6 linked regions of the Sus scrofa genome follow. The protein of the gene in region 5 interacts with the protein of the main gene of each other region in a pairwise test. Links are inferred from orthologs where the notes say so. Each region holds a gene or a part of one and is shown on either strand. Other genes may lie near its edges.

Evidence for each region.
Region 1: the proteins of SETDB1 (region 5) and UBE2I interact in a two-hybrid assay, tested with the Homo sapiens proteins (2 studies listed by BioGRID and IntAct). The link is inferred for Sus scrofa from reciprocal best matches to the Homo sapiens genes SETDB1 and UBE2I.
Region 2: the proteins of SETDB1 (region 5) and MBD1 interact in binary tests that used the Homo sapiens proteins (3 or more experiments, as listed by UniProt). The link is inferred for Sus scrofa from reciprocal best matches to the Homo sapiens genes SETDB1 and MBD1.
Region 3: the proteins of SETDB1 (region 5) and TSC22D1 interact in a two-hybrid assay, tested with the Homo sapiens proteins (2 studies listed by BioGRID and IntAct). The link is inferred for Sus scrofa from reciprocal best matches to the Homo sapiens genes SETDB1 and TSC22D1.
Region 4: the proteins of SETDB1 (region 5) and MRPL44 interact in a two-hybrid assay, tested with the Homo sapiens proteins (2 studies listed by BioGRID and IntAct). The link is inferred for Sus scrofa from reciprocal best matches to the Homo sapiens genes SETDB1 and MRPL44.
Region 6: the proteins of SETDB1 (region 5) and CDK4 interact in a two-hybrid assay, tested with the Homo sapiens proteins (2 studies listed by BioGRID and IntAct). The link is inferred for Sus scrofa from reciprocal best matches to the Homo sapiens genes SETDB1 and CDK4.

The regions. Positions count from the first base shown.
Region 1 is NC_010445.4:40,565,354-40,570,813, reverse strand, and holds the start of UBE2I (SUMO-conjugating enzyme UBC9), read left to right. Parts: upstream 1-1,872; 5' UTR 1,873-1,992; intron 1,993-5,460. UniProt on the Homo sapiens protein: Accepts the ubiquitin-like proteins SUMO1, SUMO2, SUMO3, SUMO4 and SUMO1P1/SUMO5 from the UBLE1A-UBLE1B E1 complex and catalyzes their covalent attachment to other proteins with the help of an E3 ligase such as RANBP2, CBX4 and ZNF451.
Region 2 is NC_010443.5:99,900,735-99,904,953, forward strand, and holds the end of MBD1 (methyl-CpG-binding domain protein 1), read right to left. Parts: intron 4,046-4,219; coding exon of another isoform or gene 4,006-4,045; exon of another isoform or gene 2,272-4,005; coding exon 2,082-2,271; 3' UTR 1,302-2,081; downstream 1-1,301. UniProt on the Homo sapiens protein: Transcriptional repressor that binds CpG islands in promoters where the DNA is methylated at position 5 of cytosine within CpG dinucleotides. Binding is abolished by the presence of 7-mG that is produced by DNA damage by methylmethanesulfonate (MMS).
Region 3 is NC_010453.5:22,521,063-22,525,888, reverse strand, and holds part of TSC22D1 (TSC22 domain family protein 1), read right to left. Parts: coding exon 2,914-4,826; intron 1-2,913. UniProt on the Homo sapiens protein: Transcriptional repressor. Acts on the C-type natriuretic peptide (CNP) promoter. Acts to promote CASP3-mediated apoptosis.
Region 4 is NC_010457.5:125,730,020-125,735,571, reverse strand, and holds the start of MRPL44 (39S ribosomal protein L44, mitochondrial), read right to left. Parts: upstream 3,154-5,552; 5' UTR 3,136-3,153; coding exon 2,957-3,135; intron 1,451-2,956; coding exon 982-1,450; intron 1-981. UniProt on the Homo sapiens protein: Component of the 39S subunit of mitochondrial ribosome. May have a function in the assembly/stability of nascent mitochondrial polypeptides exiting the ribosome.
Region 5 is NC_010446.5:98,272,020-98,276,845, forward strand, and holds part of SETDB1 (histone-lysine N-methyltransferase SETDB1), read right to left. Parts: intron 4,761-4,826; coding exon 4,570-4,760; intron 3,592-4,569; coding exon 3,462-3,591; intron 2,409-3,461; coding exon 2,246-2,408; intron 2,163-2,245; coding exon 2,004-2,162; intron 1,155-2,003; coding exon 531-1,154; intron 1-530. UniProt on the Homo sapiens protein: Histone methyltransferase that specifically trimethylates 'Lys-9' of histone H3. H3 'Lys-9' trimethylation represents a specific tag for epigenetic transcriptional repression by recruiting HP1 (CBX1, CBX3 and/or CBX5) proteins to methylated histones.
Region 6 is NC_010447.5:23,038,475-23,043,853, reverse strand, and holds CDK4 (cyclin-dependent kinase 4), read left to right. Parts: upstream 1-1,894; 5' UTR 1,895-1,961; intron 1,962-2,406; 5' UTR 2,407-2,425; coding exon 2,426-2,643; intron 2,644-2,802; coding exon 2,803-2,938; intron 2,939-3,055; coding exon 3,056-3,223; intron 3,224-3,388; coding exon 3,389-3,498; intron 3,499-3,746; coding exon 3,747-3,797; intron 3,798-3,937; coding exon 3,938-4,073; intron 4,074-4,312; coding exon 4,313-4,405; 3' UTR 4,406-4,648; downstream 4,649-5,379. Other genes in the region: TSPAN31 (tetraspanin-31), read right to left, coding at 5,341-5,379.

The sequences.
Region 1 (5,460 bases), on a different chromosome or scaffold from region 5:
CAGCTCCTGGGGTTCTGAGAGCAGGCAGAATGAACAATCCCGAGGTCCACCCAGGATTCGGGCCAAGATTCCTGGATTTCTGGGGATAAGGTCAAATTCAAGATTTCTTTGAAGAACCTCTCCTTTGTAATCGCCGAGGGCAAAGGGGTCTTCGACTCATGTGAGGGTGGTCTCGAAGGGCTAATATCCCACCTGGGTTTCCCCCTGCAAGGCTGTGGCAAGCAAGACAAGGAGGGGATGCCCCTTCATGGAGCACACATTCAGATGTCTGCCTGGCCACCTCTCTCTAGGGAGTTTAGGTGCCTCTTAGCAATTGGCTGGTTCGTATAAACCCCGAACCTGGATCCAACTCGCAGGGAGGTTAGAGAATCCTCAGAGTCCCACGCAGCTGTAAACCGTATGAGGTTACCATGGAACCGCAGGTTAGGACCCACTGGGACCCCGTAGTGGAAACAGTGGAGCCACACAACTGAACCTGAGATGCAATCGTATCAGGCCACAGTCACTCATGCATTCACTCAGCCGTCACAGACCTCCCCCTTGGGAGGTCCCTTCCTGGGGTCGTCAGACTGGAAGACGTAGGTCTCCTCTTCTGCCAGTAGGCAGGACCTGACGGGGACTGGCCTCGGGGCCTTACCTTATTCCGGAGCTTTAACTAGTCTTGCTTGGGAGTTGGTCCGTCTCTCCACCGAGTCCGGTTGGGGTTCGGCCATTGGGAGGACTGGAGCACCGCCACGAAGGAGGACCCGAAATACCGTCGGGTGGAGCACCGCCTCGTTCGCCTCCGGAGCTCCCCAGCCTTCCTGCAGCTTCACCGCAGCCCCGGTGGCTCAAAGGGCCAGAACGGTTGGGGTCTCGCTGGGGCCTCCAGAAATGTTACAGCTCCACGTGCAGCACCGACCAGCGAGAAACCAAGCGACACTGGGAGAGGAGGAGAATTTAGCTCTCATACCCGGCCGGCCTGGGGAAGATTGCTCTCCAGAACCCAGGCCCCGAACAGGGGTGCTACAGGCTTTTACAGGCCAGTTCTTCTGGGTCCACGCTTGGAGGGGTGGACCGGAGTGGGAACTGGAGGAGCCGGCGGCAGGGAATGTTCCAGCTTTAGGTGTGGGTCTGTTAGTGGTCACATGATCATGGGGGGGCGCTGAGCAAGCGGGGCTTACAGAAGCAGAACTTGCAGTTGGAGAGGTTTTCCATTAGTAATGTCAGGTTTTCCCTTTCATTCCCCCAGGGCCAGCCCTGGGTTAGGGAGCGTCCGCTCTTCTCCTCCCATCGGTCGGGCAGCCACGCTACCTTTTGTACGGGGTCAGCTCATTGGGCAGATTCGGCAGACGCCCCGCCCTGAGCCCCGAACTGGCCAATTGCAAGGAGTTTCACGGCCTGCCGCGCGCGAGGGGTTGTCACCGTGCTGCGACGCTTCGGGGATCCCTAGGCCTCAATGATCTTTGCTCCCCGGCCCCGGGCCCTAGCCCCAAGGAGACCTCCAGGACCCGTGCCCGGGGAGGTGCCCGCGGGGCATCCGGGGGGCCCTTGGAGATCTCGGCCTCCTGGTTGCCCCGCCGCACGCCGGCGTGTCCTCGGATAGACGCGGGCCCCGCGAAGGGGAGTTTGCAGACGCTCCCTCACATAAGGGACGCGGCTCCTTTAAGGGCACAGGTGTCCAGGGCGCCGCCTGACTGGAAAGCCGCCCCCGGGGCTGGGCTCCCAGGCCTGGCCCGGGGCGCGGGCGCCCGGCGGCGGGGCACGGGCGGCGGGCGGCGCACAGCGACGTGGACGGCGCGGGGCGTGCGGCGGCAGCGGCGGGGCGCGGGGCAGGCGCGCGGCGGGCAGACTCCGCAGGCCCCGCCCCGCCCCGCCCGCGCCGGGGTCCTCGAGCGCTCGGGCTGCGCGCGGAGCGGGCTCGGGAGGGAAGTCCCGAGACAAAGGAGCGCCGCCGCCGCCGCCGCCGCCGCCGCCTCGTCCGCCTCACTCGCCGGGCCGCGGCCGCCCGAGGTGAGCGCGGCGAGACGGGCGGGCCGGGGACCGGGCCTTGTCGGGCTGGGGCCTCCGCCGCCGTCGGGCCCGGCCAGGCGGGCTCCCTCCACCCGCGGCCCGGCCGGGCCCGCTCCCGGGAACCGGCCTGCCCCGGTGTGTTGACGCCGCGGCGTGGGCCGGCCCGCTGGGCTCCGCGGCCCCAGACGGCGGGGGCGTCCACTCGGGCGCGCGCTCGGGGCGGGTCGCATCGCGGCCGGGCCGCAGACGGCGCCCGCCGCTCGGGCTGCGCTGACAGGAGCGCGAGCGGGCGCCGAGCCCTCCGCCGAGGCGGAGCGTTTCCGGGGTCACGGTCTGCGCGCGAACCTGTGGCGTGTGCCAGCCCTGGAGACGACGCATCGCACAAAGAGCGCAAAGCCTCGCGCTGCGGCAGCGCCGGCCCGTTTGGGGGTGGTGTGTGGTGTCTGTAAATCAAAACAAGTCCGAGTTCTTGCGCCTCCGGAGCCTCGGCCGCAGTTGGTGGGACCCTGGGCACCCGCGCTTCCTTTGACGGGGAATTTTCCTCCTGGGACTGCTTTGTACCAAGTGCACGGAGGCTGGAAGTGGTAGTTGAGCCAGGAGCAGGAAGGCCAGAGAATGATTAGCTGGGCTCGCGGTAACGGCCTGCACCTGCCTCTCAATCACAGAATTCACTGGTTTGGTTTGTGTGGTTTGAAAACAAGCTTAGTTCCTCGGGTTGCAAAGTTGTTGTTCTGTGTTTGCAGAGTTGGTGCCCTTTCCAGACCCCTAACCTCAAACGTTTCTTGCTACTAAGGAAAACTTTTTGGGTTGGAAGTCTTCCCACCAGAAGAGGGGAGTGGATCCCAAGTTTTCCCTGACTTGCTCATGGCCCGCCGGGTGGTTTAGGGGGTGAACTCTGCATCTTGTTGCGATAGTCTTGCTCGGGATTTGGGGCCTGGCTGCAGAAACGGGCAAGAACAGGGCGTGCACCTGGGCTGGAGAGTCTCCCGAGTGCAGGGTGCCTGCATCAGGTGAAGCAAATGCCTTCCCCCTGGGAAGCTGATGTTTGGGTGGGAAGGGCCCATCCTGGGCTGCTGATCCTTGCTCACTTTCACCCTGGGCCAACCCGTGAGTTCACAGTGCTGTGGCTTATCGCACAGCTGAGAAGGCTGAGGCTGGGAGAGAGAAGCATCTCGCCCGCATGTGCAGCCAGTTAGTGGCTCTGCAGGCTTTGCTGTCAAATCGCAGCGTGTGATCTAAGAAGAGGGGATTCAGGCACAGCTCACTCTGGAGGAAGGTGGCGTGGAGACTTCCAGAATCTGCCTGGACATCCCAGCTGCTGTCCTGCAGGCTAGCGGTTCGTGGGTATTTCATCCTTGCATCCTAACAATGTCCATCTCTGGAGTGTCTGCTAACATTCAGCTGCTTCGGGTGACTCTTGGTTGGGGAAGGCAGATTTAATTTTAAGTGGGATTCTGAAGGAGTAGCTCCCCTTGTCATTAAAATGTAACAAATTGGGTGCTTTCTCCCGGATAAGGGAAGGCCAGGCCTCTCTGCCTGGGCCTGTGGCTCTTCACCCTTTTGTTGCCTGGTCTGGTCCCCTGGCACCCCTGAGGAAGGGGAGGCAGGAGTTCCTGTGGGACCCCCCCCATTACCTTTGGCGCAGCCACAGCTGGGCTCTGGGACAGCCTGCAGAGGCAACTTTGTCCCTTGTCAGCAGAAGAGGTGGCCTGTGGCCGGGTGCTGGCGCACGGTCAGCAGGCAGGCAGCACTCAGGATGGCCCCCCTGGCCTGGTCTGCATCCTGGACAAGCCGTGACCCCTGCCCTCCTCCCCGAGCAGCCTCAGTTGCCCATTTAGTATCCATGGCTCCTCAGTGTCCACAGTGGTGCCCTGGGCCTTCATGACCCATGGTCAGCGCCTGGCCAGGTGCAGACTCACGGGGAGCAGCCGCTTGCTGGACTCCTGCCTCCGTTAATTCAGACGTGTCCGCCTGCTGCCGCCTTTGCCCTGGCTGCCCAGGGGCTGCAGAGACCCTCCAGATTCCTCAAGCCCTGCGGGAGGGGCAGCCCCACTAGCTGCTGGAGTGGGTGGGGCAGGGTTCTGTTTAGAAGTGAAGGGTTGGGGAGTTCCCGTCCCGGCTCAGAGGTTAACAAACCCGACTAGTATCCCGGAGGATGCAGGTTCGGTCCCCGGCCCGGCTCAGTGGGTTAAGGAGCTGGCGTTGCTGAGCTGTGGTGTCGGCCAGCGGCTACAGCTCCAATTTAACCCCTAGCTTGGGAACCTCCATATGCCACAGGTGCAGCTCTAAAAAAAGACCAAAAAAAGTGAAGGGTTGGAGGCAGTCAAGGGAAGGAAAGCTTTTCAGACTCGGGGTCACTGCCCCCGCCTCCCTTGGGCGGTCCCTGGCCCTCGCAGCCAGTGACCCTCCTGGCTCTTCTTTCTGTTCCTGGTGAGCCCGCCTGGAACAGTCCCTTGCATTGCTGCAGCTTGTGCCCACGCGGGCACCTGACCCTGTAGGACCGGGTGCCTCCCTGCCATCGTCCTGCTTCCTGTGTCCTGGCACCTAGCACTTCCCAGCACACGTCTTCCTCCTGCGTGGGCCTTCTGCACAGCCACAACTCTGTCTCTCCTCAGTTTGTGTTGTGTGAACAGACAGATCCCAGGCGGGGAGTTCCCATTGTGGCTCAGTGGTAACAAACCCGACTAGTGTCCATAAGGACGTAGGTTTGAGCCCTGGCCTCGCTCGGTGATCCAGCCTTGCTGTGAGCTGCAGCGTAGGTCACAGATGTGATTTGGATCCTGCATTGCTGTGGCTGTGTCGTAGGCCAGCAGCCGTAGGTCTGATTGAATCCCTAGCCTGGGAAGTTCTGTAGGCCGCAGGTGCCGCCCTAAAAAGACCAAAAAAAAAAAAAGCTGTTCTGTTTTGGGTGCAGGACTGGTGTTACTTGTCTGGGACTTAATCTTGAAGCCTGGCGGGGTGAGAGCCTGTGGAAGGTGTGCTCAGAGTGCTGGGGTGGAGCTGCACCTGTTCCCATGCCTCCTGAGTGGCAGGGGCTTCAAGTTTTGACCGTCTCTGTTCCTCATGGTGGCACGAGCACACCTGCTTGTGGACAGTGCACCACATGCAGTTGGTCCGGTGGTCTGCACTAACTCACCCTGCTTCCGAGACCCGGGCTCCTGTGTCGTGCTGGAGGCTGCCACGGTGATCCCCAAAGGACACCCAGAGTTCCCGGCTCCATGGGGCCCCTGGGCCTGGGGCCCGTCCGTGTCATAAACACCCACTGAGGCTGCCATCCCGGCCTCGCCGACCTGCTGGTCTGCGGTTGAATGGTTGCCGCAGCCCCACCCTCCTGCACAGACAGGGGTGTGTTTGTGTTGGGGGCCTGGCGACAGAGCAGCCAAGGAGCAGATGTGGGGTCAAGGTGTGATTTGTGCTGCTGGAGCAGCTGGGGCCAAAAGGGGTGTGGGGTTGGGCGCGCCAAGTGAT
Region 2 (4,219 bases), on a different chromosome or scaffold from region 5:
AACAAACACAGGTCAGGAAACCCAGAAGGGGCCCTCAGCACAAACGGAGACCACAGCTGTAATTCTGGTCAAGAGCAAGGTGGCAGTTAATTACCTAAAAGCCAAATAAGAATGACACTTTGGTCCTCTCATTCTAAAGTGATGGCGAACATAAAACTATTATTACAGCACAGAAAAAAAATCAGCACCTAGTCGGTCACTAACGTGTAATAACCAAAATACAACTAATACTGTGCATCCCATTTTAACACCGCAATTTACTATAGACTGGCATTCCTTAATCATTTATAATCCGCCTACTTCAGATTTTGTATGCGGTACGTTTCTAGGTTTGGACTCCATTTCCTGAATTGCTGGTTCAGCCTTTCTCAGCCACAAAATAGTGTCTCTCTTCTCTTTTACAATCTTTTAAAAATTCTCATTTTGTCTTTAATCTCCTATAATGCTTCTTCTTTCAATTGCAGTTCAGTAAAATACTCATTTTCATTTACTGCTAAGAGTTTACGTAGCCTGAAACAAACAAAAAAGAAAGAAATTAGATGGTCGTCTGTTTCCTGGTGGGGGGCCTGAGGGCCGGTTCCTTGATCTTCGTGTCCCAGGAGTACCTGGCCAGCTGGCTGGTCTGGATGGAACCACCCTTGACACCACAGCCTTGGGGTAAATGGGAGGCAATGAAAATGCCCTCAACAGGGGGTAAGGGTTTGGTAAAAGCCACTGAGATTCAGGCACTCATCAGGAACCTCCAAGGTCCTACAGCTCAGAGGATCCCATTGAATTTTCAGCATCAGAAGAAGACCCTTGGCGACACCTGGCTGCCCTGGAACATCCCAGCATCAGTCCTGAGCACGTGCCGTGCCCTCACCCTGGCGCGCCCCATAATTTAGTTCCAGTTTGGTTTTGCCTGCTGAGTTTTTGCGAAGAGGAGAGTTGGCTTCCCCCTCCAAGCCAGCTCAGGGACAGAAAGTCTTGCCAGGTGGAGGTCACGCCCCAGGGCTGCCCAAGCCAGGGATGACGGACAGCGTCTTTCAAGCCCTGGTGGTAAGACCGAAATCCCAGTGGCCCCTGGCGGGCACATTCAGAGAGTGGAGGAGCCAGGCCAGGTGCCAAGCCTGGTGGGACCAAGTCCCCCTGCAGGCCTAAGAGAAGTGATTCATCTAAGGTCCTTGGATAGAACCTGACCTTGATCCTGCTTGTGAACCACTATACCACTTTCTCAGAGGCAGTCAATCAACACTTAAGCACCATCAAGACATTCTCAAAAGAAACACTAAGTGTATAAATCAGTACATGGGACAATAAAATCATTTAAAAATAATTTTAAAATAGAACAGCATAAAGATAAAAACTATTTATATTATTCCCAATGCCTATTGGGCCCCAACAAGGTTCACACAAGGGAGGTCCTCCCAACAGCTTCCCGAATTCTGTATTTTCACCATTAAGTTCCATGATAAAGCTGGAAATCCATTCACCATTTGTAAATACATACGGATGTATTTAATAAAAATGCATGGACTTTATCTTGTTCATTCCTGAACCCCAGTATTAAGTACAGTCCCTACATAGGCCAGGTTCTCAAGACTTGACTGACACAAAAATACCGAGACCAGCAAGATTTTTTCTGGTTGGGCTTGACAGAATTTCTGATCTTGCTGGGATCACCATGAAATCCATGGTCTTCAGCTCTGCATTTTCAGCAACGTAGCGTTATCAAGTAATCCTCAGGTGAGTAGTGAGACCCTTGGGAGCTGATTCACGGCAGGGTAGCTTTGTAATGTGTCACCTTGACTAGGCTACGTTTCCCAGTACTCCCTTCCCCGTATGCTTCCGGTTAGGACGGGCCACAAGAAACATTTAGCATCATAACTGGAGGGCAGAAGTGAAGCAGCAGCACATTGTTTTTACTTGGAAGGTTGGTGCAGGGGCACCAGGCACTGTTGCAGTTCACACATGTTGTCATTTATCTGCTGGCTCACCTCGTTGGTATGGGGCAGCAGGCAGACCTGCAGCCAGGCCTGTAGCTACTCCACCTTCCCCAGGATCTTCCTTCAGCTTCTCTAATTCCTAGGCCAGATGCATATTTAACTCTGTGATGAAGGGCACCAGCTTCTTCTGCAGGACACCCATATCATCGAAGTTGGAGGTGGGGAGAGGCTGACATGGGTTCCAGGCCATCCTCGTGGGTTCCAGCTCGTGCTCATGGGCGCCAGTGTGTCCTTGGTCTCCCACACTTTACATCCTTCTTCCCTTCTCGATTGCCTGTCCTGCAGACTTCAAGCTCCAGCATTAGATGCAAAGACGACAGCCTTAAGAGACTGTTCAATGCTCCCACCACTGCATAAGGTCAATCCCTATAATAAATCCCTTAAAATAATACATCTTTATATATACAAATACACACACATATGTATAATCTTTATATTAGTGGTGCTGCTTTTCTGATTGTATCCTGATTCACACAGTAACCACACTCTTTTATCTCTCGAGTCAGAATGCTACTCAAATAACTTTCACTTAGGACACTACTGTTAAAATTACCAGGATACTAGGGGTTGGGTGGCTGGACCCTGGGGGCAGCAAAACAATTATCCAGTCTTGACTCTGGCTGAAGTAAGTAGGGTGAGGCAAAAGAAGGAGCAGAGGCGGGCAGCAGAGGACTGTATGAATTAGAAGAAATGTTTCATCTACATCTGAATTATCTAAAGCTACAGGGCTGGGACTAGAGTAAGGCAAGGGAGGCAGAGAGGCTACCAAATTTATGGAGGCATGCACTCAGCTCCAGCCCTGTAAAGCTAACTAAGTAATGAATCACAGGTCTAATCTTTTTGGCACTTTATGAAGAATAAAAAGTGAGGCAGGGCTGAGCTCCAAGACTAGCCCTTAGGCAGGACTTGAAGCAGGATCTCAGATTCCTAGCAGATAGGGGCTGAGAGCAGAAACCAAGCACAAAGGTCACCAAGGAACAGGGGACGCAATTTGTGAGGAAAGATGAGCCAGGTCAGGAGCTTTACTTCTGAAGATTGCTTTGGCTGAGGATAGGAAGTGACTATAACAAGCAGCAGCCTGTGGGAAAGGATGCCCTTTAGTGTTTGAGAAATTCTATGCAGCACCCAAGTCCTGGGAAGAACCCAGTCTCGGGAGGCACAGATGCTCTGCTAAGGTGACACCATCCACATCCACGCTGCCTTGGCACTCCCTAAAACCATCCCCGGGGCAGCAATGTAAGGGATTTGTTTTAATGCTTAGAGAAATCCATCTTGTTTTCAAGGTCACTGGAAACTTCTGTTACTATAACATTATTATACACTATTGGATATAGGTTATAGTTTACAGTTTAGTGGCTTAACTTAGAACAAGGCTTTTACAATCCTAGGTTTGATTCTAGGCTCTATCAACACTAGCTGTTTGACACTGGACAAGTTATTTAATTTGAGTCTCAGTTTTACTGTCTGCAAAAAGGGGCCAAATCAATGCCTTCCTACAAAGACTATATTGAGTATTAAATAAATTAGGTCCATAAGAGGAACTCACCAAAGAGCAGTTCCTTTCCTCACTTATTTACATTACATTCTCAACTGCTGTCTCCCTGAGGAAATGTTTAGAGACACTGCCAGGTCTCATCCAAAGCCACTTAAAATTATTTATGATGATGGCTTGTTTAGGCTGAAGGTGGCTTTAAATTACATCCCCTCCCCCACCCCAACTCCCCCCCTCCTTAATATCCACACTTCTTAGCACTCAGACTCCTGGGATTTGCACCGATTGGAGCAGACAGAACAACTTTCTACTCTTTTTTTCCTTTTCTGCTTACTTCCTCTATAAGCTCAAAGTACTGAGCAGGCCTGCTCCTCGTATTTGGTGGTAGGTTTTCCCAGTTCCTATTGATTCCCACACAAGCCCTGGCAATCCATCTATGGTCCGGCCTCTGAGCAGATCAGTGTTGTCTCTCATAGAGTCGGTCTGTAAATATCACCTTGAGTCCTACAGTCTGCAGAAGCCTCCAGTCTACTGCTTTCTAGCTCCAGGTTTTTTAAGGTCCTTGGACCTAGAGAAGAGGGAGCAGGTCTGTATGTTGAATGAAGTTCCCTATATGCACAATGGAGCATTACAAAACCATTTCCTACTCTTCTGTATCTGCCATCCAATTCCCCTTAATTATCCCTTTTCTCTCTCTCTGAAAATCTTCCATTACCAACAACATAGCCCACAAGCAAATTGT
Region 3 (4,826 bases), on a different chromosome or scaffold from region 5:
TCGAAAACAACATGCCCTGGTGAAGAGGATGCTGAGTCTTGAAGGATGAATAGAAGTTTGACCAATTTCACACAAGAGGCTGTATTAAGAATTACAAAACACTCAAGACTATATATCAAATACCTTTATCTTAACCAAGGCACAAAAACGTAAAAATAAGTTCACATTAAAGGCTAAAATAGGACACAGATTTTTTTAACAAGAATATTTTTAAAAAACAAAATATATAATCTTAATGCCCAGTCTATGTTTCTAATTTTTATAGTCTCTCTCAGTGGCCAACTGAAAGCATCTTCCACATGTATAATGGGCATTTTAAAATGGAAGGTGTTAGAGACTTATTTCAAGGGATGACCAAATAACCAATCTTCATCTGTCCTATCACCCAAAAGTTTTACTGTTAACTAACGTGTTTTCTAAGTCATAATGTTGACATTACAATGTACGAATAGGTGCCCAAGCCCAGAAGATGCAAGTGACACAGAAACTAATGTGGAAAGAAAAAGCAAAAAGAATTTTTTTAATCACGGTCACTTTTTTCTCTTGTAGATATTCTCAAATTCCCTTCCAAGAACAAATTTAAATGAAACACTTCTTTCTCCCAACTACAGTGATAAAAGAAATAATCTGCGGTAAAAACACAATAAAGAAAATATTAAATCAATTTACTCTACCTGACCTTTACAGGTATTTTAAGGGTGAATCATTTTGATTTTTCAGGATTTAAAGGTCATCTCTGAAAAAAAATTTCTCATCTTGATGATTTAACTTTGATGTTAACAAAGGCTCAAATATGCAGTTAATTCAAAACAGGTACAGTCAACTCAAGTTACGCTACACCGGTATTTAGTCCTATTTCTCAGTATTTTTGTCCTTCTAGTTTCAAATCTTTCTACATAATCTGCCCCTAATTAAACTTCATCTCGGTTGCTATATGCAAAATTAATTTTGTACTAATATTTTAAACTGGGACTCTAGCTCTACAGTTAAAAACCTAGTTGTTAAGTAGCAACATCTGACTTTAATTGTCTGGAACAGCCAAGTGTGGAAAGCTCTAACGTGCCCTACCAGCAGGAGGGGGAAGAAAAGGGGAAAGTCATGCCAAGAGACCACAAATGGTAATTAGCAAAAACCATGGAAGGTTTGAATTCAAAATATGTGGTTTTCATTTGTGTATCTCACCCATTTTTTATTTCTCTCAATTGAGCATCCATATGCTATATACCCATTTTTACAGGGGATTTGCTGAGATCACACCCTTTAGATTTGGCAAACATTAATATCTGGGCTAAGTAATTCTTTAAAATTGCCCATATCAGCACAATCTGATAAATTTAAAGGTTTAACAAAAATCATAATAGGACTAAAGGAAACCTCCTCTTAGAAGAGCATTTTCTTCTAAAGTACAGTTTTGCACACATGATACAGAAAACAGCTGGGCAACAAGATTTTAATTTTATGACTATTTGAAAAACAATAAAAATCTTGAAAGACAGGATTTTAAATTATTTCAATTAATCATGACTTTACATCTTTCAAGAAACTAAAAAAGAAAAATCATGAAAACCTCCCTGAGACATTTGGTCTCTGTTTTTCTAAAACTGCAACTCTTTTGAAATATGCCCAATTTTTCCAAAATGAAAACCTCAAATACCCATTTAGAATGTAAATGTTCCAACTGGTTTCATAAAAGTTCAATCCCCAAAATCTTCGACTCATACTAAAATAATTAAGTATCTTTCAAGCTTATTCAAAGTTCCAGAGTGAAAATGAACAGCCTTTGTCGTAACTCCTATATTATTTTGATCAAGGTTAGTCACAGACTGGCAAATGTGTGAAAAGAGCATTCCTTTTAAAAATCAACTTAGTTTAAAGCCACGTAGTATCAAGAGAGAGGTCAACTTTTCTAACTAGCCAGCTTCAAAGACATAATTTGTTTCAGTAAGCGTACATACCTCATTATTTCCAATCCAATTAAGAAAGCACTGCTTAATAATGTATTTTAGACTTTCTACCTATTTCTTGGGTAAGGGAAAAGGGGAACAGGTGGAGTAGATGAGCAGGAGAACAAAGTCAGTTTCATGCCCATAAATTCAAACCTCCAAGACTTTCTCTTCTTTGACTCTTTAAAATGGCTACCACCTTGATCCACTATGCAAAAGGAAAAATGTACCGCATACTACTACCAAAGATAAACCTGTGTGTTTTTGTTTTGTTTTGTTTTTTCTTTGACAGTGGATGCCCTCCTCTCCCACAAAACACGTTTTAAGATTTCCCATTTCTTTACTGTTCAGGAAAAAGGACCATTAAATAAGTAGGCAAAAGTTGGTCAATTACAGTTTGAGGGCAACCTATATAACTCAGCTTAGGTCATCTTTCCTATAATATCTGAGTAGGAAAAGCAGGTAACATTATCTTTCACAGACTAAGATCAAACACTGTAGAACTGAAAAGGATTGTTCAGTCCAGTGAAGGAGAAACAAACGTGGGAAAGCGCAAGTCCCCCCTGCCCCGCCAAGAGATGGTCATTAACAATTTTAGGAATTCAAAAGACTTAGATTAACTATTATACGGGTTAACAAAAATTAAGTTTCTGCTTATGGTTAATATTTCTAAAAGCCATTTTATACCAAACAAAACGACTTGGTGCTCCCAAACCTATGTGTAACACCCAAAAAACTATTCTGTTGAATCCTGTTTACATATTGCTTATACCATTATACCATTTCCTATCCAGCTGAGGCCATTCCATTAACTCTTGCTCTAGAAAACTTACCAGAAAAAAATGCGTTTTCACACATAAAAAATGAAAAAGTATGTAATGCTTTCGACTAATCTTATGCACATACATAGCTACTGAATGGATTAACTCTGCATCTGTTGAATGTCTGCAGAAACATGGCATGATCTTACCTCTCATCCTCGCCATCCACCAGGGGTGTCGTCAGCGGTAGCACCTTCAACGGGAAAAGAGAAGCAGAGGCTGCTAGGCTGCTGCTACTCCCATCTGAAACTGCTGACATTCCCCCACTGTCACCACTGATAGTCTGAGGTAAGCCAACTAAGGAGGGTTCCGCTGGGCGCCTGGCATCTTCAATTTGGCTTCCAATTGCCTGAGCTAATGATTGTGCAGAGAACTGAGTAGAACTTAGTGGTATCTGTTGTGCCAAAGGTAAATTTATATTGGATGCTATCAAGGGAGGTTGACTAACGCTTTGAACCAAATTACCATTCTGAGTGGCAGGGGCTTGTGCTATATTCTGTGATGGAACCAAGTTTGTTGGGGCAGAAGGCATTCCAGAAGGGCCAGTTGAACTAACCTGACTGGTAACAGAAATACTACTAGCAGAGGGCAAAGAACTAACTGCGGGCAACTGCTGCGAAACAATTCCTTGAGCTACTGACTCTACTCCTGGTGGCTGGGGAGGCACAGTTAACAAGGTACTCTGGGGTGCAATGACCAGTTGTTGAGGAAGGCTTGAAGCACTGGTCTGAACTCCCTGATGAAGAATCGCAGCTTGAGCAGGTGGAACTATGTGTGATGGCGGAGGAGCACCTTGCTGGAGAACTGCAGGTGTGACTTGAGGGGAGGGCTGCTGCACTGCTGCAGGTATACTTGCTTGTTGACCAATATTTGCGATTTGACTCCCAGGAGGCACGGCAGAGACTGCTGTTTGAGCCTGGCCCACAGGTTGGCCAGATGCCCCCGCAGGTTGTGCTTGGCCGGCCGCGGGCTGCACCGGCAGCTGGATGCTGGGCGGCTGAGCCAGAGGCATCCCGGGGGCTCCTGCTGCCACTCCCGCAGGGGCAGGCTGGCCAGAGGGCACTGCTGTTTGAAGAAGCGGAGGCTGCACGTACTCGGAGGGAGGATTCGGAGTCACTGTCGTACCGTGGCTTGGGGCCATCTGTGTAGAAACGGGGGGCGGCTGCTGTCCATACTGGAGCTGGTGGGGTGGTGCGCCTGGAAGGGGAGCCTGCACTGCAGGGGCCGCCGGAGAATACGGCAGTTGGGGCTGGGCCAGGCTGGAAACGGAGGGCTGCTGACCCAAAGCTGGAGTTACGCCCACCACACCAACAGGTGTTGGCTGGACACCAGGCGCAGCGGGGAGAGCGGCCTGCACAGGTACTGGCTGGAGACCCTGCTTCTGCTGATAGCTCAGTTCTGGAGGCGGAGGCTGTAACTGCACTTGCGAGACCTGGGGTTGGGAAACACTAGGCGGTACGCTACCCGCTGGGAGGCTCTGGGCGCCCACGCTGCTGCCGAAGTCCATCGGCGGAAGGGCCACAGCTTGAAGGGCCGCTGGTGGTGGCGGCGGCGGCGGCTGCTGCAGCTGCACCACAGCTGGGGCCCCCATCTCGCCGCTCCCCACGCTGTCCGTGTAGTGACTCAGGGTGCTGACGCTGCTGCTCACTGAGCTCCCACTCGTGCTCTCCCTCTCGGAGGTCACCTCAGGCGGGTTTTGTTTTACAGTTTCCACCGCTTTGTTTATCACCACCCCTTCGGCAGGAGGGCCGGCGTTTTCCTTCTCGTAGAACTCGGTGCAAGTCCATCTGCCTTTTTTAAAAGGCTCCGAACTAGAGTCTAACTTTACCACTCGGAACCTCGACGTGTTCACTGCGGGTTGCTGCTGCTGACTCGAGCCCACCGTCACCCCCGCAGCGGCGCTGGCAGCGCTGTTCACCGCAGCGGAGGAAGAAAGAGTACCATTGCCCATGCCGCTCAGGAGATTCACGTTGACACCACCGCTCGCTATAGGCCCCACACTCACGCCAGCAGCACTGGGAATACCGCTGGCACTGACATTAGCGTTACCAAGCATGCTGCT
Region 4 (5,552 bases), on a different chromosome or scaffold from region 5:
ATCAAACTCAGTTTCAAAACTAAATAAATAGATTTCGATAGTAAGGTATGTTGGTTCAAAACACCTGAGTTCCAAGGTCTGAATCAAGACTGTTTTTGTAGATTTCCTGTTGTGGAGCAGCAGAAACAAATCAGACTAGGAACCATGAGGTTGCAGGTTCCAGTCCTGGCCTCGCTCAACGGGTTAAGGATCCAGCTTTGCCATGAGCTGTGGTGTAGGCTGCAGATGTGGCTTGGATCCCGAGTTGCTGTGGTGTAGGGTGGCAGCTGTAGCTCCAACTGGACCCCTAGCCTGAGAACCTCCATATGCCATGGGTGTGGCCCATAAAAACCAAAAAAAAAAAAAAAAAGACTGTTTTTGTGACCTGAAGTGACTGCCTGACTATCCATTATGTAAGAATTCAAAAACTCATGTTTTCATCCAAAAGCAAAGGATAAAACATCTTCCAGCTAACAAATTCTAAAACAACAGTGGAATTAAGCCATACTAATTATTTAAATATTTTAATTAGCTAAACTACTGGCTAACAACAAGCTAGGTATATGTCACAGGCATCAGAAATCCAAGATTTTATCACTTAAAAGAGCAGAACAAGAGCCAGTATTTAAGCATGGTGCTCCCTAACCACACTTGGCCCTCCAATAGTGTCCTTCACTCATTCATCAGACTTCTACTGAGCATCTACGGGTAGGCACTACCCTTGTACTCATGGATATAAAACTAAAGACATGGCTTGCAGTCCTTATAACTCACAACCCAAAATTCAATATTCACCTCTGATGCTGTCCTCAGTAAGAGACAACTGGAAAAATTAAGACACTACCATAATAAAAAAGCTTTAGGTCTTTCTCAGTTTGGGTAGGGAGAACATTTCACAGGTAACCTGCCAAGAAATTCAGGATAAAAGACAACTTTTCTTTCTGTCCACCTCAAGCACATCCCAGCACCTGCAATTAGGAGGTCCCAGCACCAATCACTTACCCTGATGAAAAGTGCAGTCCTCTCTGGTCCACTGCTCTGTAACAGGGCTCCAATCACTGCAAAGAAAGTCTGCCTTAACACAGGCGGGGGAACAGGAAACTCTGCACTCAGCGCTAACTGCTCCACAGCCAGGTTTCTAGCCACATGACACACAACTTCCTCACTGGTGAGAAAGTCAACTAGACTTGTAACGCCTTCAGTGGGCAAGTCTGGGAAGGCGTCCTCAAAAAATTGTGTGAGGCAAGTTTGTGAAAAAGATATCCCTTGTTCAGATAGTTCTTGATTATCTTTAAGGTTCAGAAGAGCAGCTTCTTTGTCTATTCCAAGTTTTTGGCGTTTGGCCTCCTCACTTTTAATATAGCAGCTATTAACAAATGCAGTTTTGAGAAGATCTAGGGAAAAGGTTTCCTGTAACCGATGGCCAAATGCTTGTATTTCAGCATGGTAATCCCAGTTGGGCTTCTCTGAACTGAAAATGTAAAACAGAAGACAGAAAAAGTAGGTAAAGAGAACAAGATGCTATTATGACGCAAACATTTTTCACTGTGATGCAATTTTATTCATTATATAAAGGAAATTTTAAAAGACTGACTTTCATTTTAATTCCAGACTCTGATTTTCTGAAAATTAAAACTCAAGTCCGAAGATTATTTGTGGTTCTTTGCCGGATTAATTTTCCCTAAATCAACCGCCACATCGAAACGGTTTTTCAGTATCAAAGACTAAAACATTATCCTAACTTTTGGGTTCTTTATTTCTGCTCTAACCACAGACCTACTTTATACTTAGACATGAAATACAAAGTATAATTTCATAGGTTCAAGCCATAAACAGTAAGCACATTTTATTTACCCAGTATTTTACTGATTTAAGTTTTGATAGCATCCATTTAAATGAGCAATTAAATAAACTAGTATCAATATTATAAGTATGTTAAAAGTTCATAATCATTCTCAAGAGTGACTAAAAGGTCTTAAAGAAAACTCTTTTAAGTAAAAAATGGCAACAAACTATAAAGATCTGGATTATAAATCAAAATGTATATAATCTGTAAAGTTTCTTCCAACTCCAAAAGCCTAATCTCAACAATAATCAAAGAAATGCGAACTAAGAAACACTATTTTGTTATTCTTTTTAGGAAAAGAACTTAGTATTTTGTTTTTGAAAGAACTTTTAAAGAGTACAGAACTATGATCACATATATTCCTAAATTAGGTATGTAAACCAGATCAACTTTTTTTAGAGGGGAGGGCAATATTAAAGTACCTATCAAAATTTCATACTAAATTTCCAAAGGAGTAATAACTTCAAAGCTATTCACTGTTACATCAGTGGTGACAGCAGTAACATGGAATTCGAACACCCATAAATGGAGCCATAAAAGAGTGAGGTTCATTTACCTATACGACCACAACTACGTGTCAGAGATACATTATTAAAGAGAAAAAGATGCAAAACCTCATGTCTAATAGGATCTTTTGGGGGGGCGGGGGGGGGTAGCTATAAAGATCTGCATCTCTTTCTACGAGAACTTCTACTACTGGAGCAAGGTTAATCAAGGCAAAAACCAGACGTCAAACCGTTTTCCTTTTACTCTGGACAGTGGACTTGTGACTGTACACTTAATCTTTTTCCTTGCCCCAAATCCCGAAGAAGTCTCAGGCAAGACAAAACAGGGGCCACAGCACCCAAGCCCAGATGAAGGTGACCCAGCCGGCCTTATTTCTCGTAACTCTCACTTGACAGGATTCTAAGTGGGAGCTCCGAAGTGTCGGAACCCCTCGGCAGAAATCCATTCCCTTGCCTCGGGCCACTCATGTCCGTCCCGCGGGTGCCTCCACCGCACAAACTCCTCGTCGCCAGCCAGGGGCGCACTAACGACGAGCAACCCGCGCCGCCGCCCGGCCGAGGCCGCAGAGGAGACCTCGCCGGGTCCTCGACAGCCACCCTGACCCCTTCCCTAGACGACTCCTACCGGCGCACGGGCGGCGGAGGGCACCTGAGGAGGCGCCACCGCTCCAACTCCTTCTGGAAGCGGTAGGCGGCGCGGAAGCCCTTCTTTGCTCCCCGAACTGGCGGGGCGAGAGTCGGGGCGGCCGGTGCCAGGAGGCGGCGAGGTCCCCACTGCAGCAGCCTCACCAGCCCGGATGCCATCGCAGGGGAGAGAGCAATGGAGGGCGGAAGGAAAAGAGCCGGATCAGTGTCCCCGGTAACACCGTCCCCCCCGGAACTGGTGGTGGAAAGCGAAGGTGGAGCGGAGCCAGAGCGGGGCAGCAGACAGCCGAGGCTGTTTTACTGCGCATGCACACTCTGTGGGGTTGGTTTGTTTGCTCACCTGGTTTTTACTCTGGTGAACTTGGTTTGAGGTCCGTTTGGATCCAGAAATTTCTCGAAGTTGCTTCGTTTTGTTGGTTGCTCTCGTTCCTTCCTTTCATTAATGTAAAACAGAAGAACAGATTCACGTTTAAAGAAAACACATTCTCACTTATCAGACACAACTTAGAATAGATTTACAAGGAGATCCTGCTGAATAGTATTGAGAACTATGTCTAGATACTCATGTTGCAATAGAACAAAGAGTGGGGGAAAAAACGCAATTGTAATGTATACATGTAAGGATAACCTGACCCCCTTGTTGTACAGTGGGAAAATAAAAAAAAAAAAAAAAAAGAAAAGAAAAAGAAAACACATTCTCAAAAGGGAGGAAACACTTCTTAGCAACATATTATTTAGAGTTCCAGACCATCAAGCGAAACACTGTTTATGTGCAAATATTTACCTGGCATATCTCCAAAAGCCTTTCTTTCAAGAGACCTAGAATAAGAGATACTGACTTACCCAAATTAAAATTGTTACTTAAAAAAAAAATCTAACAGTACCAGTTTTTATTAATCAAAGAAAGGAAGTGGGATGGACTGGAAATTTGGGGTTAATAGATGCAAACTATTGCCTTTGGAATGGATAAGCAATGAGATCCTGCTGTATAGCCCTGAGAACTATATCTAGTCACTTATGATAGAGCATGATAATGTGAGAAAAAGGAATGTGTATGTGTGACTGGGTCACCTCGCTGTACAGTAGAAAATTGACAGAACACTGTAAACCAGCTATAATGGGGGGAAAAATCATTGGATTAAAAAAAAAATAGGAGTTCCCATCATGGCACAGCGGAAACGAATCAGACTAGGAACCATGAGGTTCTGGGTTTGATTCCTGGCCTCGCCCAGTGGGTTAAGGATCTGGCTTGCTGTGAGCTGTGGTTTAGGTCACAGATGAGGCTTGGATCCAGCATTGCCGTGGCTGTAGTGTAGGCTGGCGGCTGTAATTCCAATTAGACCCCTAGCCTGGAAACCTCCATATCTATGGGTGTAGCCCTAAAAAGACAAAAGACCAATAAATAAATAAAATAAATAAATAAATAAATAACAGTGGACTTATAGGTCTTTTTTCTTTCATTCTATAGCAATATGATTATATTGCTTTCCCACTAACCTTACTGTGATTTTTAAAAAATACCTAACGTTAATGCACAAAGGAAGACTTGTCTGAATTCCTAGTTTTGAGTTGCCTACTGAACATCTGGACATTCAAAAGGACACTCTTCTGTGTTTTCTTTGCCCCGATATAGACACCCAGATTGGGTTCTTATGTCTTCAGTGGTTCCTATTTCCAATCTTTTGTCCAGTTGTCAAGTTCTTTTTCAGTTTATTTCCAAAGCAGCTACCTGATGGCTAGCCTACCTCCCTCCCAGGTTGTTGTAATTAGCTTCCAAAGTAATGTGTCTTATACTCTCTTTCTTGGACACATCTCACCTACATTCATATCCCAGATGAAACACAGACCCAAGCATGTTACTACTTAGGTCAAGGATTTTCAATGTTGGGAGTTCCCATTGTGGCTCAGTGGAAATGAACCAGACTAGTATCCATGAGGACACAGGTTCAATCCCTGATCTAGCTCAGTGGGTCAAGGATCTGGCATTGCCATGAGCTATGGCATAGGTTGCAGATGCAGCTCAGATCCAGGATTGCTGTGACTGTGGTGTAGGCTGGCAGCCACAGCTCGGATTTGACCCCTAGCCTGGGAACTTCCATATGCCAAGGGTATGGCCCTAAAAAAAGGCAAAAAAAAAAAAAGAGGAAGAATTTCCAATGTTAGCAGCTGATCAAACTTCTGTCAGGCTCCTCCAAGCCCTCTTCTCAAGGAGGCTTTGACCTTAGGCTTCAGTCTGTCTGTCTTTGTCATGTCTGCATCACCCAGTGTCAGCAAGAATCTTGTTAGGTCAGTTTAGAGAGAATCCCCCAGCCCAATATCTAATCAAATTCATTACTACTCACTATCCCCCAGTGATGTCTGATCACCCCAGCCTGCCTTCAGCAAGAATTCTGTCAACTATTCTTGCAAGAATGCCCTATTACCCCTGATGCTTCCTCTTGGTACTTTTCCACCCACTGACACCCCCCACCCAGCTTCCTTCTTGACTATAGATCCCTGCTTGCCCATGCTTTATGAAGGATTGAGCCCAGTTCTATGCTGGGGTCTCTTTGCCCCATTGCAATAGTTCCTGAATA
Region 5 (4,826 bases):
GAAATGAATCTGACTCGTAACCATGAGGATGTAGGTTCAATCCCTGGCATTGCTCAGTAGGTAAAGGATCCGGCATTGCTGTGAGCTATGGTGTAGGTCACAGACCAGTGGCTCAGATCCTACGCTGCTGTGGGTATGGGGTAGGCCGGCAGCTGCAGCTCAGGCTTTGACCCCTAGCTTGGGAACTTCCATATGCTACAGATGTGGCCCTAAAAAAAAAAAAATGATAAAGAGACTAAGAACAAAACAAATTGTAACTGAAAGCATGATCGAGGGAAGCAAAGAAAAAGAAGAATCAGAAACAAACACAAGACACATATACCCAGGGTTACACAGTGGGGCCATGTCAGCACCCAGCCTGTCTCATAGCTTTCATGGAGGCCTTACAGGAGGAGCTCCAGCTAAGGAAGGAGGTAAAGTGAGGTAAGGAAAGGAAAAAGGAGTGCAGATACATGACAAAGGAAGAGTTAGAAAGAAAAGCAATTGTAACAAAGTTGGAGGGAAGGCCACCAATTCCCCAAGCAACTCACTTGTCGCGGCACCCATCTTTGCAGTCACAGCCAACCAGAAATTCAGGACCTGTGTTAATGAAAACACCCTTGCCCGGGATTCGTTCCTTGCTGTAGGCCACTTGGGGTGGGGGAGTTGTGTCAATCTCATTGACACAGGAGAGGGGAACATCTTCCTTCCCATAGGTGATGTCCAAAATATAGTAAAAAGGCTTATAGGGCTGAAACTTTCGGTCCACAAGAACATATGGATCCAAACAGAACATCTCCAGGAAGAGGAAGTCACAGCCAGTCTCAAAAAGGTAGCGCTCAATTTCCTGCATTGTCCGAAGGCAGAGGCCACAGGGTGTCTTATAGATAACATGAAAGCCCATCTTCCGGTTAACTCGGCGCCGGGCTGTCATCCTCCGGAAGTCATACAGTAGTGGGACTAGGAGAGGGTTCTTGCCCCGATACTGCTCATTTCTCATAGGTCTGACTCGAGACAGACAAGTATAGCTGCACACGTGAGGTAAGTAGAAAAGCTTCTCCATGGGGGCGCGGTAGGAGGGCTCTGCAGGGGCCCGCTCCAGCATGCCATGGAAGGCTGGGGGTGCCGGGGGAGCTGGGGGTGTTGGGGCAGAGGTTGTTGAGCCTAAAGGTGATCTGTAAATGACAGGCAAGACATCAGATAAGAAGGCAATAGGACCTCTCTGTTGTATAATTAGCCTATCAACTGGCTAAGCCCTCTCTCTAACCTTTCAAATAGCTGTACTCTTGGAGCTAAAGATGATACACGAAAGTCAAATTTCCCCTTACCTTACTAAGCCTGGTAAAGTAACACCCTGGTTACTCTTTCTTTGTTCCTTCTCTTTCGGCCGCCTGCAGCATATGGAGTTCCCGGGCCAGGGATCCTTCCAAGCCGCAGTCCTGACCTAAGCCACAGCTGTGGCAACACTGGATCTTTAACCCACTGTACCCGGCCAGGGATCAAACCTGTGTCCCAGTGTTCCTAAGACATCGCCAATCCTGTTGTGCCATAGCGCGAACTTTGTTCCGGTTATTACTGTGGACAGACTGATGATATCTCTATTTCCGTTCGATACATTTTCCTGCCTATGAATTATGGAAGTAGAGTCCAGTCTTCTACCAATGCTTGTTTTTCCTGCTATCTGTCCTATAAATGTCCTTACTAACTCTGATAATTCAAAGCAAGAGGCTAAAGAATTCCCCTTCCCCTTCTATTATAACAATGATGACGCCATATTCAGTGAGCAGTCTTAACAAATGACTTTCCAGTGTCTGTATTTCTAAGCCTCTAGTTTCCAATTCAGTTACTTCTATGTTCGGTTTCTTGGAGACTTTCAAGGTTAAAGCTTTCTTTTCAAGTCCAAAGTCCTCACCATCATAATCTTAACTAGGTCCCCCTTGTGGCCAAGGAACAGTGACCACTATACAGTGACCACTCAGTCCATACTGCCAACCCCTCCAACAGAAAGCCTGAGACTTTCTTACCTATATGTCTGATTGATCCCTGGTTTCCCAACAGGGGCAGTTTCACTGAGTGCAGGGGATGTAGGGGAGGAATGACCAGAGCCCACAGATCCTGGTCGGAAGGATGTGCTTTTTTTGGCTACCTGCTTTCGAGATTGGGCAAGCTGGCTTTCCAAGCTTCTAGGAGATTAGAAATCATATGGTAAGGGATACAGAAATTATTACATAAAAGAAACTAGAAAAAAAGAAGAAATAGCACTCACTCATTGTCACCTGCCTGTGGGGACAGAGGTGGACCTGGTGGGGCGGGGGCAGGTGGGACAGGTGAGGCTGTAGGCTGTGGGGGCTCCAGTGGCTTAAACTGGGTTCCAGTACTGGTCAGATCCTGAGTATACTGGACCACAGGACCTTTGCTCCTCACAGCACCTATAGGAAAAAGGAAACACCAAGAAGATAATAGCTGTGTCATTTATATTAGTGCACACACTTCAACCTCAATTTATAATAGAAAAATGCAATGATGGAGACATTTTGGTTAAGTGCTAAGACTGTTAGATCTCATTATTTACACTGATGAGTGGGAATACTGGCACAGGTTTTTATTTAGACAGTGAAGATTTTATCTTCCTGCCTCAGACGACTTACATTAGTAATTATGCTACATATTTTGTTGCAATTTTAAAAAAAATGCATTCTTTGATCAACTTAGGTTTATCAGGAAAAATTAACCAGAAAGTATGCAAGAACATATAAAAATAAAGACAGTTTGGGCTTTTAAGAAAAACTGACCACAGGAGTTCCTGTAGTGGCTCAGTGGTAATGAAGCCAACTAGTATCCATGAGGACGAAGATTCCATCCCTGGCCTAGCTCAGTGGGCTGGGGATCTGGCGTTGGCATGAGCTGTAATACAGGTTGCAGACTTGGCTTGGATCTGGTGTTGCTGTGGCTGTGGCGTAGGCTGGCAGATACAACTCTGATTCAACTCCTAGCCTGGAAACTTCCATATGCTGCAGGTGCGGCCCTTAAAAAAAAAACTGTGACCAAAGATCACAAACAAATCAGATAATCCTTATGTGGAAAACAGAGGTAGGTAGTCACTACCACCAATACCTCTAACCTAAGGCAATTGTTTCAGATTTTTAGGTGGTTTTTAGAACAAATCAGAGCCACAGAACGTGGAAGGAGCGCCAAAAATCCATTACCACCACTGGAAACAACCCAACAGGCACATGTCCTGTTTCCAATGAGTAAGTAGTGTCATCCTCACAAACAAAGGATAGCCACTGTAGGAGTTCTCCAGTGGCCTAGAGGTTGAGGATCTGGCATTGTCACTGCTGTGTCCATATTCAACCCCTGGCCCAGGAACTTCTGCAGACCATGGCAAAAAAAAAAAAAAAAAAAAAAGATAGCCATTGTATATAAATCCCTTCCCTGTTTGTCCATTTCTTCTCTCTCTCAGGGTATCTTTGAGGACATACCCATATTTGGACGTGTCCTGAGCTGTCCCCCTTGCTTCTTCTCCAGTGCAGAGGCTGAAGATGTCTTCATGCTGAACATGGGCTCCAGCCGTGTAGAGCCTCGATAGATCCATTCACACCTTTTGTCATCCTGAGGGATTGGGAGGCAGAAAGGGTGAGGAGAATGGGTTAAAGGCTGGAATCTGTCCTGCCATTTGTGAAGAATATATATGATGTGCCTCCCTTAGAGGAAATCTCTCCGATGAGCCCTGAGTTCCCTGAAGTTATTTAATAAACTCATGTGCCAGGCTCCATGATGGGTATCAGGAATATTTTTTTCAAAAAACCCCCAAAGCACATATATTCCTGGTTTAAAACATCACAAGAGAGAAAGATGTTTACACTGATTATAAGAAGTGTAACAAGGATCACAAAGCCTTAGGATCAGAGGGCTGAGATAGCTCAGAAAAGAAATATAACTAAGAAAGGTGTGAAAGGAGAGCTAAGGATAGGTACAGAAGACCTAAGAGTTAAACTGGGCCTGGAAAAGGCCTCCAATTCCATCATCCCTCTTTTTTGTCCTACTATGCTACCAAAACCCTAACCCTGGGCAAACACAACTAGCTGCCTTCCTTGTACCTACATACATTGTGGATACTCCTGGAGAAAAATGAAAACAACCATCATGAAGATTAGTGCCACAATTAAATTCAGGGAATTTATTTCCAACAAATTCATAGAGGAACAAAAAAAAAAAAAAGAAAGTAAAATTCAACCCCAAACAGTGAGAAAAGGTAAGAGGATAAGAAAGAGGGAAAAATATGGCACAGCTACAAAATCATCCTATTACTATTTTTTTGTCTTTTCAGGGCCACACCTACAGCTCATGGAGGTTCTCAGGCTAGGGGTCGAATTGAAGCTGTAGCTGCTGGCCTACGCCACAGCCACAACAACGCCAGATCCAAGCGACCTCTGCAACCTACACCACAGCTCACGGCAATGCTGGGTCCTTAACCCACAGAGGGAGGCCAGAGATCAAACCTGCGTCCTCACGTCCTTATTATTGTTGCCTTGTGCTCCTCCATCCCACCCAGACCCCTGCCTCCAAAACTCTTCAGAAGAAGAGTACCAGGAAGAGGATCCTGACTAGGCTGCCGTCCACCTCCTCGACTCGGGACTTCCACCATGTGCCTTCCCACTCAGTCTTGATGAGCTGGCCACTCTTGAGCAGCACCATGGGGCGGTTGGGGTAAGCAGTGATATACTCCTCTATGAAGTCTCGGCAGGAGATGTCTTCTATGTCCTCCCAAGTCTTTTTCACTGTCCCAAGGAAGAAGCAAGGCTGAGAGAGGGCAGGTAGGGCATGTCTTGATAGGAAAAAATAGT
Region 6 (5,379 bases), on a different chromosome or scaffold from region 5:
AGAACTTTCAGAATGCAACATGGAGTTCCAGCCATGGCTCGGTGGTTAATGAACCTGACTAGTATCCATGAGGACTCAGGTTAGATCCCTGGCTCCGCTCAGTGGGTTAAGGATCCAGCATTGCTGTGGCTGTGGTGTAGGCTGGCAGCTACAGCTCTGATTCGAACCCTAGCCTGGGAACCTCCATATGCTACAGGTGTGGCCCTAAAAAAAAACAAAAGACAAAAAAAAAAAGAATGCAACACAATTTATGTTCATCTCAAGCTTGACATCCTCAGCCAGATGGTTAAGGAGAACAGAAGTTAGGGTGCAAGGAGAGCAAATAGACTAATAGAATGGTTTCAGATATTAGACAGTTTATCATTAATGAGACACTGATCCTTACGTTTCCTTATCCCCATTCCCCCAAAGGGTTGGGAGATAAAGAAGTTGGAGCCAGTAAGACAAGAGAAGCCAGAGAAACCTGCCTATTGCCTACCTAGATGTCTGTGAGTGGGGAACATTTGTTCTGTGGAGGGACAAAGGCTAAGGAAGCTTGCACTGGTGGAAGAGAAGGCCACTCAATGGCCCCATATAAAAAGTTAGAAGGTTTGGACAAGGGCATAGTCATTTTTATGCAATGTGGTGGTAACTTCCTTGCACACACTCATTCCTATATCCATCTGTATATGATGTATATAATAGCGTGCGCGCGCGCGTGCACACACACACACACACACACACCATCTTAGTGCAGAAAAGAAACTTTTTTTTTGGCCCCACCTGTGGCATATGGAAGTTCCCGGCCAGGAACTGAATCCGAGCTGCAGATGTATCAACGTGGGATCGCTAACCCCCTGCGCCTGGTAGGGTTGAACCTGTGCCACCACAGAGACAACTAACTCAACGGATCTCACCCCGCTGCACCACAGCAGGAACTCTGGAAAAGAACCTTAAAGGTCAAGTATTCCTGTTTCCAGCTCATTAATAACCTCTCTGCCAGGAGGTATCTAGATTCTGCTTTAACACTCCCAGGGAGAAATGGAAGTTCTGAAGAGGTGAAGGCACACTACCTTGCCACGCTTCCTGTTGGATTACTGTATTTATCTGCCTTCCATCAGTCCTTTAATGCTAGTTTTGCCCTAAAACGGGTATTGTGTCCTCTCTATTTTATATGATCACGCTGCCGGCTATATCTTTACATATAGCCTTTTCACTACCTTAAAGGGCTAGTGCCTGAGACACCAAAAAAACTCATGTAGCAAAAACCGTACATTTACACAGGAAGTAAGCGTTCGGTAAAAATTTGTTGAATGAGTGAATGAAACAAAGACACAAATGAGAATATGTTTTCCGATGGCGGTGGTACATAAAGGCGACAGCACCTCCTCACGTCCCCAGGCCCCCCACTCTGCATATAGAGTGACAGACGCATAGTGACACTGGAGTTGGCGCTCCGGCTCGGCCTGCAATGGGGAATTGGGATCTGGGTGGCCCAGGTTGCCATGGCACCGTATTGGACTCCACCTTCTCTAGGCTCCCGCCCCCCCCTCGCCAGAGTTACGGCAGCCAGTCACGTGCCCTACAGCGTAACCACACCTCTGCTCCTCCAAGCAGTCAAGCGGTCACGTGTGATAGCAACAGATCACGTGGCTGCCATCGCCCCTCCGCCCCTTTCCCTTCCCCGCCCCCTTCCCGGTCAAATAGGCTCCAAGCTGCCTTTCTGCGCACGCGTACTCTGGTCACGTGTTCCGAACGTCCGGCACATTCGCCCCGCCCTGCCAGTTTCCGCGCGCCTCTTTGGCAGCTGGTCACATGGTGAGGGTGGGGGCAAAGGGGGCCGCTCTAGCCTGCGGCCTATGTCTATGGTCGGGCCCGTAGAGTCCAGCTGCCCCAGACAGAGCTCGAGTGCATGGCGCTGCAAGAACCGGCTCCGGGGCCCCGATAACGGGCCGCCCCCGCAGCTCCTGACACGGGGCGAGGTAAGTGTAGCCCCCTTCCAGGAATAGGGACCATTCTAGTCCTCCCCGGCTTCCTACGCGGGCTGGTCTGGAAGGGTCGCTCGAGGGCGGGAAGTGGTGCAGGGTGTAGTATGTTCCTTTGTGGTCATAGGGAGGTGTAATTTAAAGGACTAGGTGAAGGGTCTTCAATGCAGGGGGTGTGTCGTGTGGGATTTCCCTTGTACAGGGCTTGATAGTCCCAAAGAAGAAGGAATTTTTTAATTCTAGGGCCTCACGTGGCTGGAGGGCTTTTGGTTAATCATTGTGTTACCTAGGGGGGTCGGCCTTATGGAAATTTGGGGAAGGGACGGGATGCTGCTCTTGTTGTCTTTGGGATATGTTTTGTGCGAGACACTTTGTTGCCGCAGGCTCATAACTATTTGAACTCTGGAAGGGAATTTGGTGGCAGGAGTCTCTGTGATTGTAGGGTCTCATCTGGTCTGAGAATGGCTACCTCCCGGTATGAACCAGTGGCGGAGATTGGTGTTGGTGCCTATGGGACCGTGTACAAAGCACGGGATCCCCACAGTGGCCACTTTGTGGCCCTCAAGAGCGTAAGAGTCCCCAATGGAGGAGGTGCTGGAGGGGGCCTGCCCATCAGCACGGTTCGTGAAGTGGCCTTACTGCGCCGGCTGGAGGCTTTCGAGCATCCCAATGTTGTCCGGTGAGAAGAAGGTGGAGGGTTGGGAGTGGGTAGTAAAAAGGAATAGACAACCTGTAGGTGGGGAGTGGTGGTTGAAAGAAGTGGGGACCCTGAAGGAATAGGGGAAGCCATGTTAGGTCAAAGATGATTGATCACTGAGTGACCTTTTGTTCTGGCCAGGCTGATGGATGTCTGTGCCACTGCCCGAACTGATCGAGAGACCAAAGTGACCCTGGTGTTTGAGCATGTGGACCAAGATCTAAGGACATATCTGGACAAGGCACCCCCACCAGGCTTGCCGGTGGAGACCATCAAGGTGAGTAGGATGGACATATACTGAGAAGTAAACTGGGATCTTTGTAGTAGCATCTGTTGTGGCTTCCAGTATGATGCCTAGTTTCCAGTTTCTCTGTACCTCCCCCTTCTAAACCAGGATCTGATGCGTCAGTTTCTAAGAGGCCTAGATTTCCTTCATGCCAACTGCATCGTTCATCGAGACCTGAAGCCAGAGAACATTCTGGTTACAAGTGGTGGGACAGTCAAGCTGGCTGACTTTGGCCTGGCCAGAATCTACAGCTACCAGATGGCACTTACACCTGTGGTCAGTAGAAAGATGGTAGCCAAAATGGCTTCTGGTTAGTGGGAGGAGAATGCTTGCTCGTAGCAGTTGGGAAGTCACGTGTTTTTTACGTGCTTGACTTCAGTGAAGCAGTTGTGCTTCATGGTAAGGAGTAGGGACCTCATCGACCCTTCTTATTCCTATTAGGTGGTTACACTCTGGTACCGTGCTCCAGAAGTTCTTTTGCAGTCTACGTATGCAACACCTGTGGACATGTGGAGCGTTGGCTGTATCTTCGCAGAGATGTTTCGTCGAAAGTATGGGGCCCAAATAACCCATAATTTCCCAAATCTCTTATTCATAAACCACATCCATGTCATGGCCACTCTTCTACTTGAGTACTCCTGACCATCTGGTCTATAACCAGAAGCTCTGAAATATCCTGGAATTAGGAATTCCATAGCTCTTTATTCTACATACCCGATGTTCTGAGCTACTAAGCTGTAATCATTCTTCCACCATATGTTTGAAAATGACTGCTGTCTTATGTCTTTTCTCACCTCAGGCCTCTCTTCTGTGGAAACTCTGAAGCTGACCAGTTAGGCAAAATCTTTGAGTAAGTGATTGGGAAGGGAAAAGAGTTTTCCATTCTTAGTCGTCCTCTTTCTGCTGAGCCCTGGTTGGAAACTGGCTCTGCCCCTGGGGGTGGGGGCTAGAGACGGGCCCTCCTGACCAGAGTTCTCCTGTTTCCCATAGCCTGATTGGGCTGCCCCCAGAGGATGACTGGCCCCGAGATGTGTCTCTACCCCGAGGAGCCTTTTCCCCCAGAGGGCCCCGCCCAGTGCAGTCGGTGGTACCTGAGATGGAGGAGTCTGGAGCACAGCTGCTACTGGTACTGGGCTTGGGTATGGGCACAGGGTGAGATTGGGGTGAAAAAACAGCAGTATAAAAGGGACCCAAACACATTGTGATCACTGAGACTCATTAGTGGATGGGCTAGTTTTCTCTTGCTGCTTTGAATGGCAGTCCACAAAGAGAGATAGAAAAGAACCCATTCTAGATATTGTTAAGGGTGAGTAGAAGTCTATTTTGTTTTCTTCACAGTTTTCTGACCTTTGCCTCCCTTCTTAGGAGATGCTGACTTTTAACCCACACAAGCGAATCTCTGCCTTCCGAGCCCTGCAGCACTCTTATCTACATAAGGCAGAAGGTAACCCAGAGTGAGCAATGGAATGGTTGCAACAGAACCAAGAGAAGAGAAGCCAACACTTCCCTTCCTTTGAACACTTGAGAGTCCCTTGCCGAGAAGTCGATCTCTGCCTTCATCTCTGGGGTGTGGAGACGACTGCCTCTGTCTTTTTACAGAGAATATTTTGCTGCCTTAATGACATTCCCCTCCCTCCCCTCCTTTTGAGACTTACCCCCCCCCATTTCCTTACACCAAGGGGTATGTTCCTTGCTCTCCCCTTCCCTGTACCTTGATACTAGAATCCTTTTTTATACAGGAGAAACAAAACAAAGAAATACGGTCTTTTTTCTGGGAATGTTTTTTCCTCTGATTTAGGGATTTGAAAAAAAAAAAAAAAAAAAAAAAACATTTGGAAGATGGCACTTCCCCACAGAATCATAGAGTCTATAGAGTCAGTGGAGCTCCTTAACTGGCAAAAGAAGAAAAGGCACTTATGTTGCTTTTTTGAATATAGAGTTTAAATGGCTTTTATTTTTATATTTACTGAACTTCTTCAAACTGGGTCCAGCTTATTACAAGAGTTCTTGGTGGTTTTCTCCCTGGCTTTGTCCCTGATTTACCCTTGGAGCCAGGATGTGTTGAGGCAGTCCAGCACATGGAAGGGAGAAGAGGGGAAACAGAGCCAGGAGTTCCTCCGACCTCTATCCCATCTCATGCACTTTCAGGAGCTTTCCATATCCACTTAGGGAGAGAGGAAGGAAGGTTTTTTTATTCTTTATAATCTTGTTCCCAACAAAACATGTCAAGGCATAAAGCCTAGCTATTCAGTCATCTAGGGAACATGGCAAAAGACCTTTCCTTTTTCCTCAAACAAAAAGGGCTGTAAACCCCAGGTTTTCCCTAAGGGAGGGGGAAAAAAAAGGCTTAGGGAGAGCAAACAGCGGGAGAAAAGTCAGAAGGATTCAGCATCTCATAGAAAGGCACTAGGGTTGGCTCGAGGGTCCTTCTG